Linked DNA regions of Arabidopsis thaliana. The protein of the gene in region 1 interacts with the protein of each later gene in a biochemical or structural test. Each region holds a gene or a part of one and is shown on either strand. Other genes may lie near its edges.

The links.
Region 2: the proteins of HAM4 (region 1) and WOX4 form a complex in vitro, tested with the Arabidopsis thaliana proteins (one study listed by BioGRID).

Annotation. Positions count from the first base shown.
Region 1 is NC_003075.7:17,301,499-17,309,248, reverse strand, and holds HAM4 (GRAS family transcription factor), read right to left. Parts: upstream 3,492-7,750; 5' UTR 3,190-3,491; coding exon 1,729-3,189; 3' UTR 1,601-1,728; downstream 1-1,600. Other genes in the region: HVA22K (HVA22-like protein K), read right to left, coding at 1-28, 134-197, 359-410, 563-660, 1,074-1,132, 1,418-1,480.
Region 2 is NC_003070.9:17,234,577-17,242,038, forward strand, and holds WOX4 (WUSCHEL related homeobox 4), read right to left. Parts: upstream 3,610-7,462; 5' UTR 3,378-3,609; coding exon 3,135-3,377; intron 2,916-3,134; coding exon 2,598-2,915; coding exon of another isoform or gene 2,586-2,597; exon of another isoform or gene 2,522-2,585; coding exon 2,327-2,521; 3' UTR 1,948-2,326; downstream 1-1,947. UniProt on the Arabidopsis thaliana protein: Promotes differentiation and/or maintenance of the vascular procambium, the initial cells of the developing vasculature.

The DNA of each region.
Region 1 (7,750 bases):
TCTGGTTGTTGTATATCTGTTTTGATCCCTGTTGTCGGCAAATAAGAATATAGAGAATATCAGAACTGATGAGTACCACGGGTTAAAGCTGCCTACTCGTTAGATGATGGTTTAAAGAGATTCCGATAGGTACCTCAACAGTTGGGAGTTGAAGCCAGACGAGGAACGCAAACTTCACATGATAGTACAGCGGGAACCTGCAAATAATCGAGGTTATTGAGTATCAATACTTTGCGAGTTTATCGAGATAATCAAGCCATTTCTCTCGATAAAGTCCATTAGAAGAAATATCTTATTTGTCTAACATAACAGCAAAACCATCAAGATATTGTATATAGTTTCAAGATGTCAATCATACCAGGAAATGATCTTGTCCGTGAACACTTCAACAAGGCTGAAAGAACCATAAGCTGCAAAGAAGGTGAAGATAGAGAAAAAACCCCATCAAATTCCATGTGAAAGAAGGCCAAGGGAGATTGAAAAAAAACTATTGAAGATAAACAGTCAAAGAATAAGGAAAGCAATTAGAAAGGTCATAACAATTGCAGTAACAATATCCCACCTGCCCAGTAAATAAGCATCTTTTGTTGTTCATTCTCATCTCCACTCTCAATTGCCTTGAAGGTAGAGTACACAGGCAAACCGATGCCAATGGAGCAGCTGCAGGAAACAAGTTTCAGACATACCACACAAACGTGTCCTTTATAACCGAATCCTTTAGTCAACTACAGCTATAACACCTTCTAATAGAGAAAATAACCAAAAACTCGGATAAAACAAAAAGAATCCAGATTCCCCAACAATAGATTGACCCTTGTCCAAAAGATACCCTAAAGTATCACAACAAGTAGAATAGAACCCTTGTCCACTCGGCTAAGTTAATAACTATGTCAACAAAAAAAAAAAAAAAAAAAAAAACTCCCTCCCTACCCCATTGCTTCACATGTAATGAGAATCACTCAATCAGATCACAATCTCACCAATCAAATCATTCCTCCAATTCATTCGTCTACCTGTACCATTGATTCTAGCAACTATATGGCTTTCTTCACCTTACAATAAAAAAAACTCACCATGCTGTACGAAGTACGATATTGGAACTAAGTGGAGAGAACAATACACGCAACCCAACCTGAAAATTCCATTGAGAAAAACAATTGTTTCTCTCAATCCAAAAGTTGAGAATATCCACATGATCAGGAATTGAAACACCTCTTTCTCTAATCGGCTTTTGTCAAAGAGTAATCCAAACAAAAAAACAATCCAGTACAGAAGAAATCTGAATTCCAACAAGGCAGAAGATGAAGGAATCCTAAATATACATATTTAATCATAAACTTTATCACGAATCCCCAAATCACGGATCGGAACAAAAGCCGTACAATCGGAAACATCAATCAAACTAAAGGAAGATTACCTCGCCGGTGAGTCCAGATCCAAGAAGCGCCATGGATGGAATCTGTGAAGCAAACCCGCTCATCGGCGATTCGTACGACGGTTTTACCAAATTGACGACGAACTCGCACACTCGCAAAAAAAAGGTCACTTGTGTTTTGAATAGAGGAGATTATGAATCATTAAAAGACTCTAGCTCATACAGAGACTCTTCGTAAGAAATATTTTTATTTCTTTATTTGAAAGATAAACAGCAAAAAGAAAAGAGATATTAAAGGCGGTAAATACAATTATTCTATTCTATATCATATTGTTAAACCAAACCCGGTTTATCTAAAACCGCCAAGCTGATGTGGCAACAAGTGCTCTTCCATGCCAGCACAGCACCAATTCTCCTTGTCGTTTCGCCACGTGGAATCCTCTAACTTGCGCTTTCTCCAATAAACACTCAGCTTGAAAGTCGGCGAACTGGCTTAGCTGTATCGGCCTCATCCCGGCGGCGCAAAACGCTTCCCGCCAAGTCATTTCGCCGGTGTGTCTCCTGTCAGCCGCCGTTTCTACCGCAGCGGAGATCTTCGGTCGTAGAACGAACGCTTCCACTATCTTCTTCACCAAATCTCCGGGAGGAGCTGCAGCGTCGAGCGACTCCAGCACCATCGTGTAGAACTCAAGAGCGCTAACAAACTCTCGCCGGAATGATCCAGATCCGGCGATCTCCGTCCATCCTTCACTATCCACGAATACAACGACCTTAGGTGATACTCTCCGTAAATTGTTAACAAAATCAGTGATTCCACTTAGACGACGAAATATCGCCGGGGAAATCAAAACGACGGTCCTCTCCCCCTCAACAAACCTAATCGCTTTGAAAGATAACATCTCAAAAGTCTTCATCAGCACAAACTCAATCTGGAAACGAATTTTCATCTCCGCCGCGAATTGAGTTAGGTTTTCTTTCACTAGTCGCGTCTCTACGGCGCACTCCTCCGCCACCACTGCCGTAACTCTTAAAAATCCACCGCTTACAGATTTCTCAGTGATTTCTCTCATAAGCGATGCGTATTGGCCACCGAATCCAATCTCAAAATCCACCACGTGAACAAACGGAGAAGACGACTGCGAGCTCAACGAATCGAGTATCGCTTGATTCGCCGTGAAATGAGAGAAGAGAGGGATCGGAGAAATCCCGGAATATTCCTTAATCGCTCGGATCCTCTGAACAATCTCGGACCAAGAAGATAACCGGATTGGATTCCGGTTTGATCCGGTTAAAAACGAACCGAGAGCTTCCTTAAAGTAAAACGCAGCTCTCTGTAACGGTCTACCCGCCGGAGATCTCAAGCGTTGATTAAGCCGTGATAAAACCACCTGAGCGAGTTGTAACTCGTCCGATTCAACACAATCCACGACTCGGATGAGATCTTCAATGAAATCAAATCCTCCATTGTCGACACTATCAAGAGAATTAAAACCGTACCCAGTTGTTTGGTTCTGACCAGGATAAACATCGGAAGACGATTCGAAATCCGACGGTTGAATCTGATCGGGAAAGCCAGGGAGATTTGAATCGACGGCGTAAAGAGGCAAAATAGTAGAATCTGTTGTGGTTGTGGTGAAACCGGTTTTAAGTGAGTTAGGAGCAGAATCGTCATCAAGCTCCAATTCTTTCATGATGGAATCCCAATCCATTGAACGCATGACATGTTCGTCCATTGATAAGTGATTACTATCAGTACTATTAGTGTTGTTGTTGTTGTTGGTCGTGTCTTGAGGAGATGATGCAGGGATTTTCATGTGTTGTGTGTTAAGAAGAAAGAAAGGTGGAGCCTTTAACGAAAAGAAAAAAAGTTTTTTTCTTTCTGTCTTTTTTCTTTGTGTGTGGGAGAAGAAGAAGGTGGCGGGGCTTTTGAAAGGTGAGAGTGGTAAGCTTTTTATCTTTGAGTGAGTGCGTGCAAATAAAGAGATTTCAACTTTGGTAACCGTGTCTGATCCGGGTTTGTTTGGTTTTACAGAATAATATTTATACACGAAACAATCTGATTGACAATGATTTGTATATGATTCCGTTTTTTATTAATAACATACTATTTCACATGAAATTCAACTGAAAGATTTTAAATCAGTTTTTATTTTGTATTAATTTCTCATAATATATCTCCAAAACTATATACTATGCACAACTAGCAACTTCTGTAGCTAATGAAAAGGAAACTTCTACAGCTCTTTAAAGGGATAAAATACAAATAAAGTTCCTCTGCTTTAAAAATAAAAATAAATCATTTGATTGAAAAGAGATCCAAGCTCCACTATGTTGATCATCAAGAATGTGAAAGTTGAAAATAAAAGAGAAAAAGGATGTTTTAAAAAGGTTAATGATTTCTCTCTTTTTTTTGTCTGAGTGGTTTTTTTTCAGTCTTTTTCATCCTAAAATTTTAAACAGTATTTTACAAAAACATTTAACTGAAAGTTTTTTTTTATTACATATGACAATTTAAGTGATCAAAAATAATCTTTCTCAAACATAGCAGCACGGCTATATGTAACTATGTTGTACCTGAGTTTGAGATCAGCGTTAAAATATTTCATATTTGTGGATATTGTTTTCGATCATTAAATCTCATACGTTTTTGACCCAAGTATGGAGATAAATAAAAAACTATGAATCTGCGTTGATTATTCCAATAGGCAATAGGTATATCAACGTTTGGAATTTTTTTTTAAAAGTAGTTTGTGTTGGACAAAAATATTCTTACTAAACAAACTCTACAACGTCGTTTTTATTCTCACTAAACCTAGTTGTTAGTACCACACAAAATACAATATTATGTATTTATTTAGTACCGTGCATATATCACATAATAATCTCAAACTAGTTACAAAAGCTAGAGAGGTTTATTCGATTGATAACCAATAAAAAAGGGGAAAATTGCATGAAACAATTTGAGTCGATGATGTTTAACGGACACTAATCCCCGCTGCTTGCGACAAAAAACAAAGGAAAGGAAAAAGGGAGTGACCACTGGGCTTTATGTGGAGCCCACATAACACGGTAAAAAGCAGGGGGAAAGTAAGCGGGTCCACAATGGGCTAACTTTTGAGGTAATAATGTCGGAGAAAATGACCGAGAAGCCCATGGGCCAGAGATTGACTGATCATTAAGTCAGCGCGTAAGAATCACGCCCACTTCTTTCTTTTGCTTAGCCCCCCACTCTTCTCTCTAACTCGCAAAGGAAAAAGAAAGAATATGTTCTCTCCTTCACTTATTGCTTTCATTTTCATGGAAATTTACCTTCCTTTTTTGTTTTCTTTCTTTTCTATTTGGTTTGGTGTACCAGAATGCAAAACCATTTCCTCAATCTTTTGAATATACTCTCTTTTTTTTTTCCTTGTGTAATTAGGAATGTTTGATCATATTAGGTTAATAACTCACCATTTTCGCAAAATATGGCCTAGTTTGCGAAATTTAAACATCATATAGTTCTCGTGAAGAAAAGCTTCTTCTCATTGAGACATTATTCAACCTTTAATATCGTGGAGAAAAGGTTCCTCTCATTAATACACCTTTTTCCTAACATAATTCAACTTTTTTTCTTACATAAGTCTTCATCTGTGTTATATAATTTAGATTTTATGCGGTATAGCGGCTCAATTAACACACTAAAATACTAAAAGTTCTTTTTGTGGCAACTTTTTTTAGTTGTTTCTCATTAAATTAATGATTAAGCCCACATTTCTGTTATGTTTTAAAAATTTAAGAGAAATAATCAAGTTTAATATTCCACCGTATGAACGCCTACATGCAATGGGATCCACTTGTATCCTAATCTCATGCTTAACAACTAGTTAGTTTATTTTCGAGGATCATACATAAAATACCATAATATTATAGTTTATATATGTGGAACATGCAAGAAAAATAATCAATGATTTATCGAACTGAAATCACTCGCCAAATTAGTTGCCTTTTTTTTGTTAGATTGAATTGCCAGTATTTTAAACAAATAATAAAATAATAATAATAATAATAAAATGCCAGTATTAGACCAATGTTTTCATTATGCTCAGAAATTATTTCGTCCACAGACCACCAAAATGTTACGTCTTGTTAGCTTGAAAATCATTACACTATCACTTTTGATTCTCGTTCATACAGCTAATTCCCTGAAAAAATGATGGCCCTATGTGTACAACTATTTTATTTAAATCCATCTGATATTGGGTAACGAACGTTTTAATTATATGCAATACAATTTATGAATGATAATTATTCTGCATATACACTAACGTCTCCAAATATGGCAATATCTTCCCTACACATGATTGGAGTTTGTCGAAAAAGAAAAGAATATTTCATAAATAATGTTGGTAATTAATACAAGTTCTATTTATTAACACACGTGATTGTATATTAAAAACAAATGAATGACGATCATATCTTATATTCCCACTCTGACAATATTCTTTTACTGATCGACCAATGGATCCTCTCGTTACCAAAATTGTCCCACTGCCAAAGGTTTCTTTCTTATTATTCGTTTCTGTGTTGGTAGTTTTATAATATGTATACCGTGATTTATACTAAGTATAATGTCTCATAAACTGTTTTTGATAAAGAAAATTTTAAGTTGTTGTGCTGACTGCTGAGAACCTGTGTAATAATATAATATCGCCAAAACATATTATTCAATTCTCATAAGTTGTTTTTAATTTGAAGGTTATGAATTTGTAAACTTTGTGTGTTTAGTATCCTGTGATTAAAATAAACCAAAATTAAAGACATGATTTGATTATCCAATCTTTTAGTTAACATGTCAAAATTCAACGTAAAATGGTGATATAGTGTTTTGTACAACTATCTGGTAGTAATATTTTTTCTTGATATAATAATTGTAATAAAATCTAAATTTTATAATAGAAAAAGAGACAGTTGTGTATTTTCTTGGGAGATAATTTCTCAAACCCCACTACACAAAAAGGTCATAATACTTAGGAAGTAAGGAAAGGAAGGAGAGGCCGATGATAGACTACACACAGACGCTTCTTCCTTCTAATCAAAAGAGAGAAGCTTCATCCTCACAAAAGCAATTTTTTTTAGTAGATTCCTATTTTATGTCATTCACAATAAATAAAATACTTAAATAGTAAAAATAAAAGATCGTTCTCCATTAAAATATCATTCCCACAAGAATGAAAAGTAGTAACGGAGAAATTGTTTTAACTTTTCATTGTTTATTTTTTTTTCTATAACTATCCGTATGCATACTACAAGAATTTAATCTAAATTTTGGATCGACTGATTGTAGCTATAAATTATTGAGTAAGTATTAAATTAGACCGTTGATATAAAAATATATAAGTATATATGTGTGTTATACTAAGTCGATCGATTGGTAAGTCTCGTAATGATTTAGTAAACATTATTCTATTTGGTGTAGATTTGTTTTTTTTTTTTTTTTTTTTTTGTCAAATGTAAATCATTTAATTTTAATTCAGTTACAATTTTCTAACTAAAATTTTGTTTATGTATTTTCGATACTGTGAATAAAGCTGGTGGTGTAAAAAATAATATTAGCGTAACATTAAATTTATAATTAAGTTAAACAAAAACATTAATATATAATGTACCGACAAAAATTGAAAGTGAAAATAAATGGAGGAGGATGTTCTATTTTGCAACTCATTGAGTAGTCACAACATGCGTTGGAAACTCTTCCCCGTCAAGAATATATTACTTTACACGTTTTTAAAATTATTAATTTACCCCCTTTTAATAATTGATTTTTAGTAAAATGATTGTTCGTGATAAAATATACTTTAAATTTTTGATGAATGGAATCATTCATTGTTTGATCGTTTACATTTAAAAAAAAAAAAATTATACGATCACATCTTTTTTTCTTATATATAGTTTTTAAGATCATATATATGATATATCATCACAACAAATTGATGTCTAGTACGTACCAACAAGTATGCTCTGTTACTTGTAAAGATGATAAAATGCTCTTAGAAACAAAACATTGTACTCTCAAAACAAAATATTTACCATCACTTGATACTGTCAAAACAATTCTTATATACTTAGTACTAGGTATTCGGCTAGCATCTCACTGATTCTAGAGGTCATCTATTTTCTCGAATAAAAAACAAATATAAACTCATCATAAAAAGGATAAATCTGAATTAATTCATTTGTACAAAGTATAGTCTTGGTCTAACAAAACGCAAATTCCCCTATATATGTCTTGCTTATGATGTTTAGGGACTTCACTAATCCATCTTAGCTATAAATAGAAACAATTTTTTATTATAAGTAAATAAGTATTTAGCATGATTGTAGAGCGTAACTTTTTCA
Region 2 (7,462 bases), on another chromosome or scaffold:
TTCTGGCAAAATCCACATTGTTCATCTTTGTTATTAAGCATTATGTTTTCTTCTCTGTGGCCTTTGTGGATCCTTCTAAGAGACTACATTATTGAGATTTCCAGAGCTACTTTTGTTTTGTAGGTTTAATATTCTGATGTATACATATATGACATTGTGTTGTAATTCTCACATATCTAACCACTTTAGTTAGATCTCTTGCTCTCTTGTCTCTCACACAGATTTTATTCTTTGTTCTAGAGAGACACAAAAGCGTTTTCCTCCAAAGACTACATTGTTAATTACTTGGTTACTCTTACACAACACAAGGACACACATACATAAACTACTTCTACTTGAGACACACACACACTTGCACACTTGCACTTAGACCTAATGATGGCTCTTACACAAGACCTACTTCTACATACATTGGAACTCTCACTCCTTGATTCACTCTTCTACTCTAACTTAGACTTACAACACAACACTCTTTAACTAAACATACTTGGGCCTAATTCATCTTCAGCCCATTACAACCATATTACAAAACACAAAGCCCATATGTTTGTTGACTTTCTTCTCTTCCTTTGACTCTTCTCTTCACGACATCATCTTCTTCTTCCTCTGTTCTTCATCTTCTTCTTCTCATGGATTCTTCTTCTTCTTTTTCAGATTCAATCAAGGATACAATTCCAACACATTGCCGTCGTAGAGCCCACGAAGCCCGTTGTTTGCTAACCCATACATGTAGCAAGCTGACCGGCCTGGCCAAAACCGGTTTCGATAGGCCTAATACTATTTGAATACTATGTGTTTGAAATTATTTTGGACTTATATATATGTACACGTGAAAACCAAGAAACATTGAATTATTGAAAAAATAGTCATGGTCCCATTACCAATTGAATAAAGTTCTTTATTTCTAAATTTCAATCTTGCTTCCCTCCAAGATTATAAGTAATGGAACGCCATGCCCCACGCCCACGGGCAACCAATTCATAATGCATGGCAAATAATCATTTGAGAATATGATTACCGGTAAAGATAGACTTAAAATATTAGGTAGTTTGGTTATTAAAGATAAACTTAGCTGGAAATGTGTTTGTTTCAATTAGAAATCATAATCTAAACATAAAGAAACTTAGAGTACTTCTATATATGTTTAATTGATGTCCAACAAAGTTATAATTTATCTTAAACCCTTTACCAAAAAAGATTATTTTAAGTTTAGCGTTTATTTAAAATCACTGTAGAAATATACAGTTTTGTTTTACGTTGCATCAACATTTAAAAGAAAAAAAGAAGGAAAATTGGTATATAATTAACAACCAAGTAGAAGTTAGCTATCAGAAAATAAAACAAAATTATCGGCATATAACCAAAATGAAAAGAAGAATGTCACTTACAATAATTAAGTGCGAAAATATAGAAGAGCTACATATATCTGCGTATGTATAGAAACAGCTAGCTAGCATGCAATGTAGCGGGAAAGCGAGTGCATGGACTTCAGTGAGTGTGTCTCATATAATGCCATTTCAACTTTTAACCTAAAAAGCAAAACTCTCTCTTTGTTTCAACCAAAATACAAAACAACCACTTGCGAGAGTCAATAAAGCATCAGACAAACAACTAACCACATACACACCACAGCTTACATATATTGATGTCTTTGTACACATTCCATTGGAAATATCAAATTCTTGAAAAGATTCTTCTTGTTATCATCTCATAAACTTATTTAGTATATATTTATCAAAAATAAAAAATTAATATAAATATTATTGAGTCACCTGTTTTACTAAGAGTTTTAATATAAGTATATAACAGTACAAAAAGTTTTAGATTTCAATGTTTGTTTATATAGAAATATACTAGGTCTACCCCCTTTTCAACGGGAAATGCTATTATTATTTCCTTTTAACTTCTTGCTCTTGTACGTACGTAGGAATTAAGACAGAGATATTATTTTAACAACATCAAATGTGTCTTTATTCAGAAATTTCTCTAAATGAAACATTCCTACATACCAACGATCTAGAGAAATACTTAGATGGCCAAATCAGAAGAGAGTACAACTGATCACTAGTGAATTTGTCAAGAATAAACGCGAAAAAAAGATGAGCTAAACTGAGCATTCATAATTAAGATTACATCGCAAAAATAATCTACATAGGATACATCAAACTCGCAGATTAATAAGGGAATTCTTAAGTAGATTTTGTAGTTTTAGAGACTTATTCCTATTTTTATTTTTATTTTGAATTTCTAGATACCAATTGATTCCTCTGAACCTAAACCAGATCTACATAAGAATTCCACAATTTTCTGCCTCACCTTCATGACTTCATCTCCCTTCAGGATGGAGAGGAAAAAGCTCGAGGGTTACATTGTCAATGATTTTATTAAAAGTAGTTGCCATAGTACTACTATTTTTGTTTCTCCTGTTCTCTATCTCCAAGTTCTCAAATCCCCAGCTCCTACATGTCCTCTTGTACTCATTCTCTTCCACTAACTCCTCCTTCTCCACCATTGGTTCTCTCTACACAATCATAAAAATTATCCTTAAATATAGTTGATCAAAACCACAAAACTATACAAAATCCTTAAATTCCTACCATAATGTCTAGTGACGATGATGTTCTTGTCTTCATAGTTACACTCGGATTAAAGACACCAGTGGTCGTGAAGCTGCTTTGGCAACTTAGGCTGATGAGGTTGTTCCTCTTCTGCTTCTGTCTCTCGCGGGCTTTGTGGTTCTGGAACCAATAGAACACATTTTTCCCTTCGATTTTCCCGTACTTACCGAGTTGCAATGTGATATGCTCAATCTGTTGAGCATTAGGAGTACGCATTCCACCTTTGTACAACATCTCAAGTATCCCTATCTGTTCTTGAGTCGGGTTCCACCTTGTCCCTCCCGGGTGCGTCTCCAACTGAACCCACACATTATTTCATTACATTTGTTAGGAATCATACATTAAAATAAATAAATAAAATTAATAATAAAAGGAACCACTCCAGTCGTTATAATTTATAAATGTCAAAGTATTAGGTATGCCGCAATTATCAAAATTCTTCTAGAGTGAATTCTTCTTCTTTTTTCAAACGAAAGAAACGATGTAAAATGTACGAAGTACAATAATGGAACTGACTTGATGAGGAGGGTCTCGTTTGTGTTCAAATTTTGTCGGACCGGTTTGATCGGGTCTAATGAAGTTTTTAAGGTCAAAAGTGGCTGAAGTGACGCCGGAGGAAGAAGAAGGAGGGGAGGGAGGGCTGCCGGAGAGCTTAGGGGCGAGAGGACGGAGGCGTTTGCAGCTTAGGCTAAGGGATGATGTCGAGTCATGTTGATCCCACGATGAAGAAAACCCATTCGAAAACTCATGAACCTTCATTGCTATATGTTAAAACTAGCAAATGCTATGCATGCCTTTCTCGTTACAAGACTTAAGCTATGTATATATAGAGGAAGATAAGTGTGAAATGATAGTGTTAGTGTATAATGATATCATTGGTGATATCCAGTTGGGTAGGAAAAAGAAAAAGAATGGAAAATGAACAGATGATTTTTACAAAAGTGGGACGTCGGGAAACCAAAGACCAAATGATGGGATATGGTTGACTTTTATCATTTAAAATCTCCTTGTCCTTATTGTAAATATATACACTCAGAAATGTAAAAGCAATAGGTAAAGAACAAATTTGAAACTAATTGAAGACAGTGATCTTTGTTTGAGAAAGTGAAATCTCATTGTGTGAATATAGATATGCGTACGTGTGTCTCTACATACACGTAATACATGCGTACGTGTGATATCTGATATGTTCATGTCTGCATGGAGCACTACTTTAAATTCGGCATAGTAATGTATCAACCAAATTTTAGTTTCATGCTTACGCATGTCATGCGTGAATACCGCATAATTTATCTCTCTTATAAAATTTTCCTCTACTTGTAGTTGTAGTCTATAGTACTATGTCTTGAGATCCTATAATTTAGGCAGAATGTTGAGGGACATGAACCACGCTAAAAATAATATGTTATAGATACGTGATATCAAAAGACTTTACTATTCATTGAGATTGACATTGACCTACGAGCCAATAGGTTTGCTTTTACAGGAAAAAGGTTTGAATTTTTTTTTTTTGGGATCAAATTCTAACAAATGCATGTGATTTATTAGAAAAATCCCAAACCAAAGCTTGACAATCTTTCATTCTACTAGTTGTATAGGGACATAATTTCTCTCTCACCTTTCTTTATTTTAAGAAATTATTTTAGAAATAAAACACTGAAAAAAGTTAGCTTTAATGATAGGATGTCGAATGCTTTTCGGTGGCTCTCAAGTCTCAACTACTTTATTTAGAGAAAAGAAGAATGAGAAGAAGAATGAATAAGGGGAAAAGGTATCTTCCAATCCCAATACTCGAAATTGCTTTTATTACTTTTGTTAAGATACGGATTTTGCCTAAATTAGTGGTAGTTTATAATGAGCCAGGACAGACTTTTATGCGGAAAAGAAAAGGCTAGAAATATCTTAATGTTATATTATCATTGTTTATTTTGATAATAATACATCATTATAAATTTAAGCTTATATGTTTATTAGATATTGATACAAAAGCATGGTTTGGTTTGGCAATGTCAAGCGTCCCATTCACTTTAGATCAGTGTATTGTATTGTTATTCTCTTGTACATCGGGAACTGCAGAACCTCAATTTCCCAAGTAATTTGGGTATTTTACTAATGAAAAGTAGTAACGTATGATATTCCGGAATTACAAAGTTTTTTCTTCTAATTACTTTTGAGTTTTGACTAATATATCATCATCTTTTTATTTGATATGTAGTCTAGAATTACAAAGAACAGAGACCTTGAGTATGAACTGTGAAGAATAGTCAAAATTATTTAGTCTCGGCTAATCCAGTTATGATGCAAGTATATGTACAGTACGAAACTTACACTAATATATATGGATATCAAAGTTATGAAGGTGGAAAGTCACAGTTCATATCACTGGTTAAAACATAAAAATTGATATCATGGAGGAAATATAGAAGTACCAGTGTAGGTTGATCATGACTAATAGCTAAAATTAATAACATCTTTATCCTATGAAGATGGATTTTTTTATAGAAATTTCACATTTTTAAAAAATAATGTATACTGACAATTTTAACCTTTTAATATATTTTAAAAATAATAAAAAATATTTATCTACTTATTTACTTAGGATAAAACAGGTAAACAATTTTAAAATTTATATTAAAAATACAAAATTTGTATCTTTGTGGGACAATTTTTTTCCATAGAAAATTCATCTTTGTTGGACGGAAGGAATATGAAAGCTCAAAGTTCTAAAAAGACTGCTCTATCATTCATCAGATACTGGAAAATGAGTGGAACTTTACTGAACCCAAAGCATAACAAGAAACTGGTAATACCATTCATATTTTTTGAAAAATGTCATCACACGATGGATAACCTGATTCGTGTGTCAAGCTGTGATCAGATGGTTATTTCTTCAATTATCTATGGCCCATACTATATCGTCGATATTCATATGCAGTGACCCTCCTCCACTACACTTGCCTCTACCACTGTTCATATGTATTTTTTTAGGACACATATTTAACATGTTTATTTTTCGATCCATATGTAATACTATGTCGGTAATGACAGATTACTGATGGTTTGAGGTTTAGGGTTTCAAAATTTGAAATAAACTAGCATAACATGTTCACAACCAATCATTGTTGGATCTCTTTTTCTTCCAATTTGTTTACTTCGATCTCCTCCTCATCTTTTTTTTAGCTCTTTAGCTCTTCTTCCTTCCTTTGATTTGTATTGTTTGTTGATGAGATATGTAGCACCCTTCGAAAAATTCGACTTAAATCGAGAATAATTCCATTAATCCAAGTAATTCTGATAAATGGGTAATCGGTCTATGGGAAAAAGCTTAAATAAAACGTCGTTGACCTGCAATAGGGAAATGAAAAGAGTGAGACACATCTAGGTGGATAATCTTGAGGACCCGAAAAAATAGAAAAATAAGAGATTCAAGGCCGAAAAATAAGAAAAGAGAACATATGTTGAATAGAAATCCATTCATATAAATCGACTGATCGAGAACCGAACAAAGGTTTGCCTTAGGTTTTGTTTGTTTTTGAACAAACTCTAACTTCTTATTCAAGGAACATAAACCATTGCAATTGATTGTTTTTTTTATCAAGATTTCAAGAAAAGGAGTTATTTTCTCTTTACTTAAAATTAAATAAGTTGTTTGTGAAACCGTAGTTTCTACGTTTTAATCCGCTCCCAAAACCAAATGAACCAAATGATAAAATGATTAAAACATACAAAATGAGACTCCAAACAACTAAAAGTGGGACATATCATATATTCCTTAGGTCTCATAATAAGTAGTACTCCTTCTATTCCTAGAAAATTGATTTTCTAGAGTTTACACATATATTCCCTCCGTCACACAAAGATGAATTTTCCATTAAAAAAAATTTGTCCTATAAAAATAGAAATTTTATGTTTCCAATGTAAATTTAAGAACTGTTCACCTATTTTACCCTTATTAAATAAATATTTATTATTAATTTTATAATATATTAAGAAGTTAACATTGTCATTATACATTATTTCTTAAAGAATGTAAAATTTCTAAAAAAAATCATTTTTGTGAGATAGAAAGAAACAATCATTATTTAATTGTTTGATAATTTTTTTCTATTAGATATTATTTTTAATAAACTATGAGCCAATAGTAATTTAAAACAGTTACTCCCTTTTCTCAATATATATATATATATAATATTTTGGCTAAAAACACAAAGTTTAAGATACTAATTTTTATTTCTACATTAAAAACAGAATTCAATATTTAGTTAAAGAGAATTTGACCAATAAAATATTTTATTGCGGAATATAAATAGTCACAAAAATATATAAATTTATTTACATAAAAACTTGAGTTTCTTGTCCTAAATATCTTATATTATGAAACAAAATAACGGAACTACAATTATTTGCAATTATCATCTCTTGAAATCTATCATTTATTGATATCAATTAGCAAAAAAGAAAAAACAAATCTAAAAAATCAGTCTTTGTGAAACAACCCTAAAACACTAAAACATCAAACTTTGAGGAACAAAGAGATTATATATCCTTTTATATTTTAATTTTTGAATTTCAAAGACTGTTGGTTTTTATTTTTAATACATATTTTCACACAATTGTTTTTATTGTACTCCTATTAATTATAGAGGTAAATTAATAAGATGATAATTAGTTTCTTAAAATTTGTATAAACATTTCTGAACGATATTATTAAAAATGATGGGAGCATAATATGTGTTTTTTTTGGTTTTTTAAAATGTTCGAGTCGTCCTAAATTAAATGCCTCTCGGAATGTGGAGTCTTTGTCGGAAATAACGATGTTTCACGGTAGGGTATAATTCTGATTT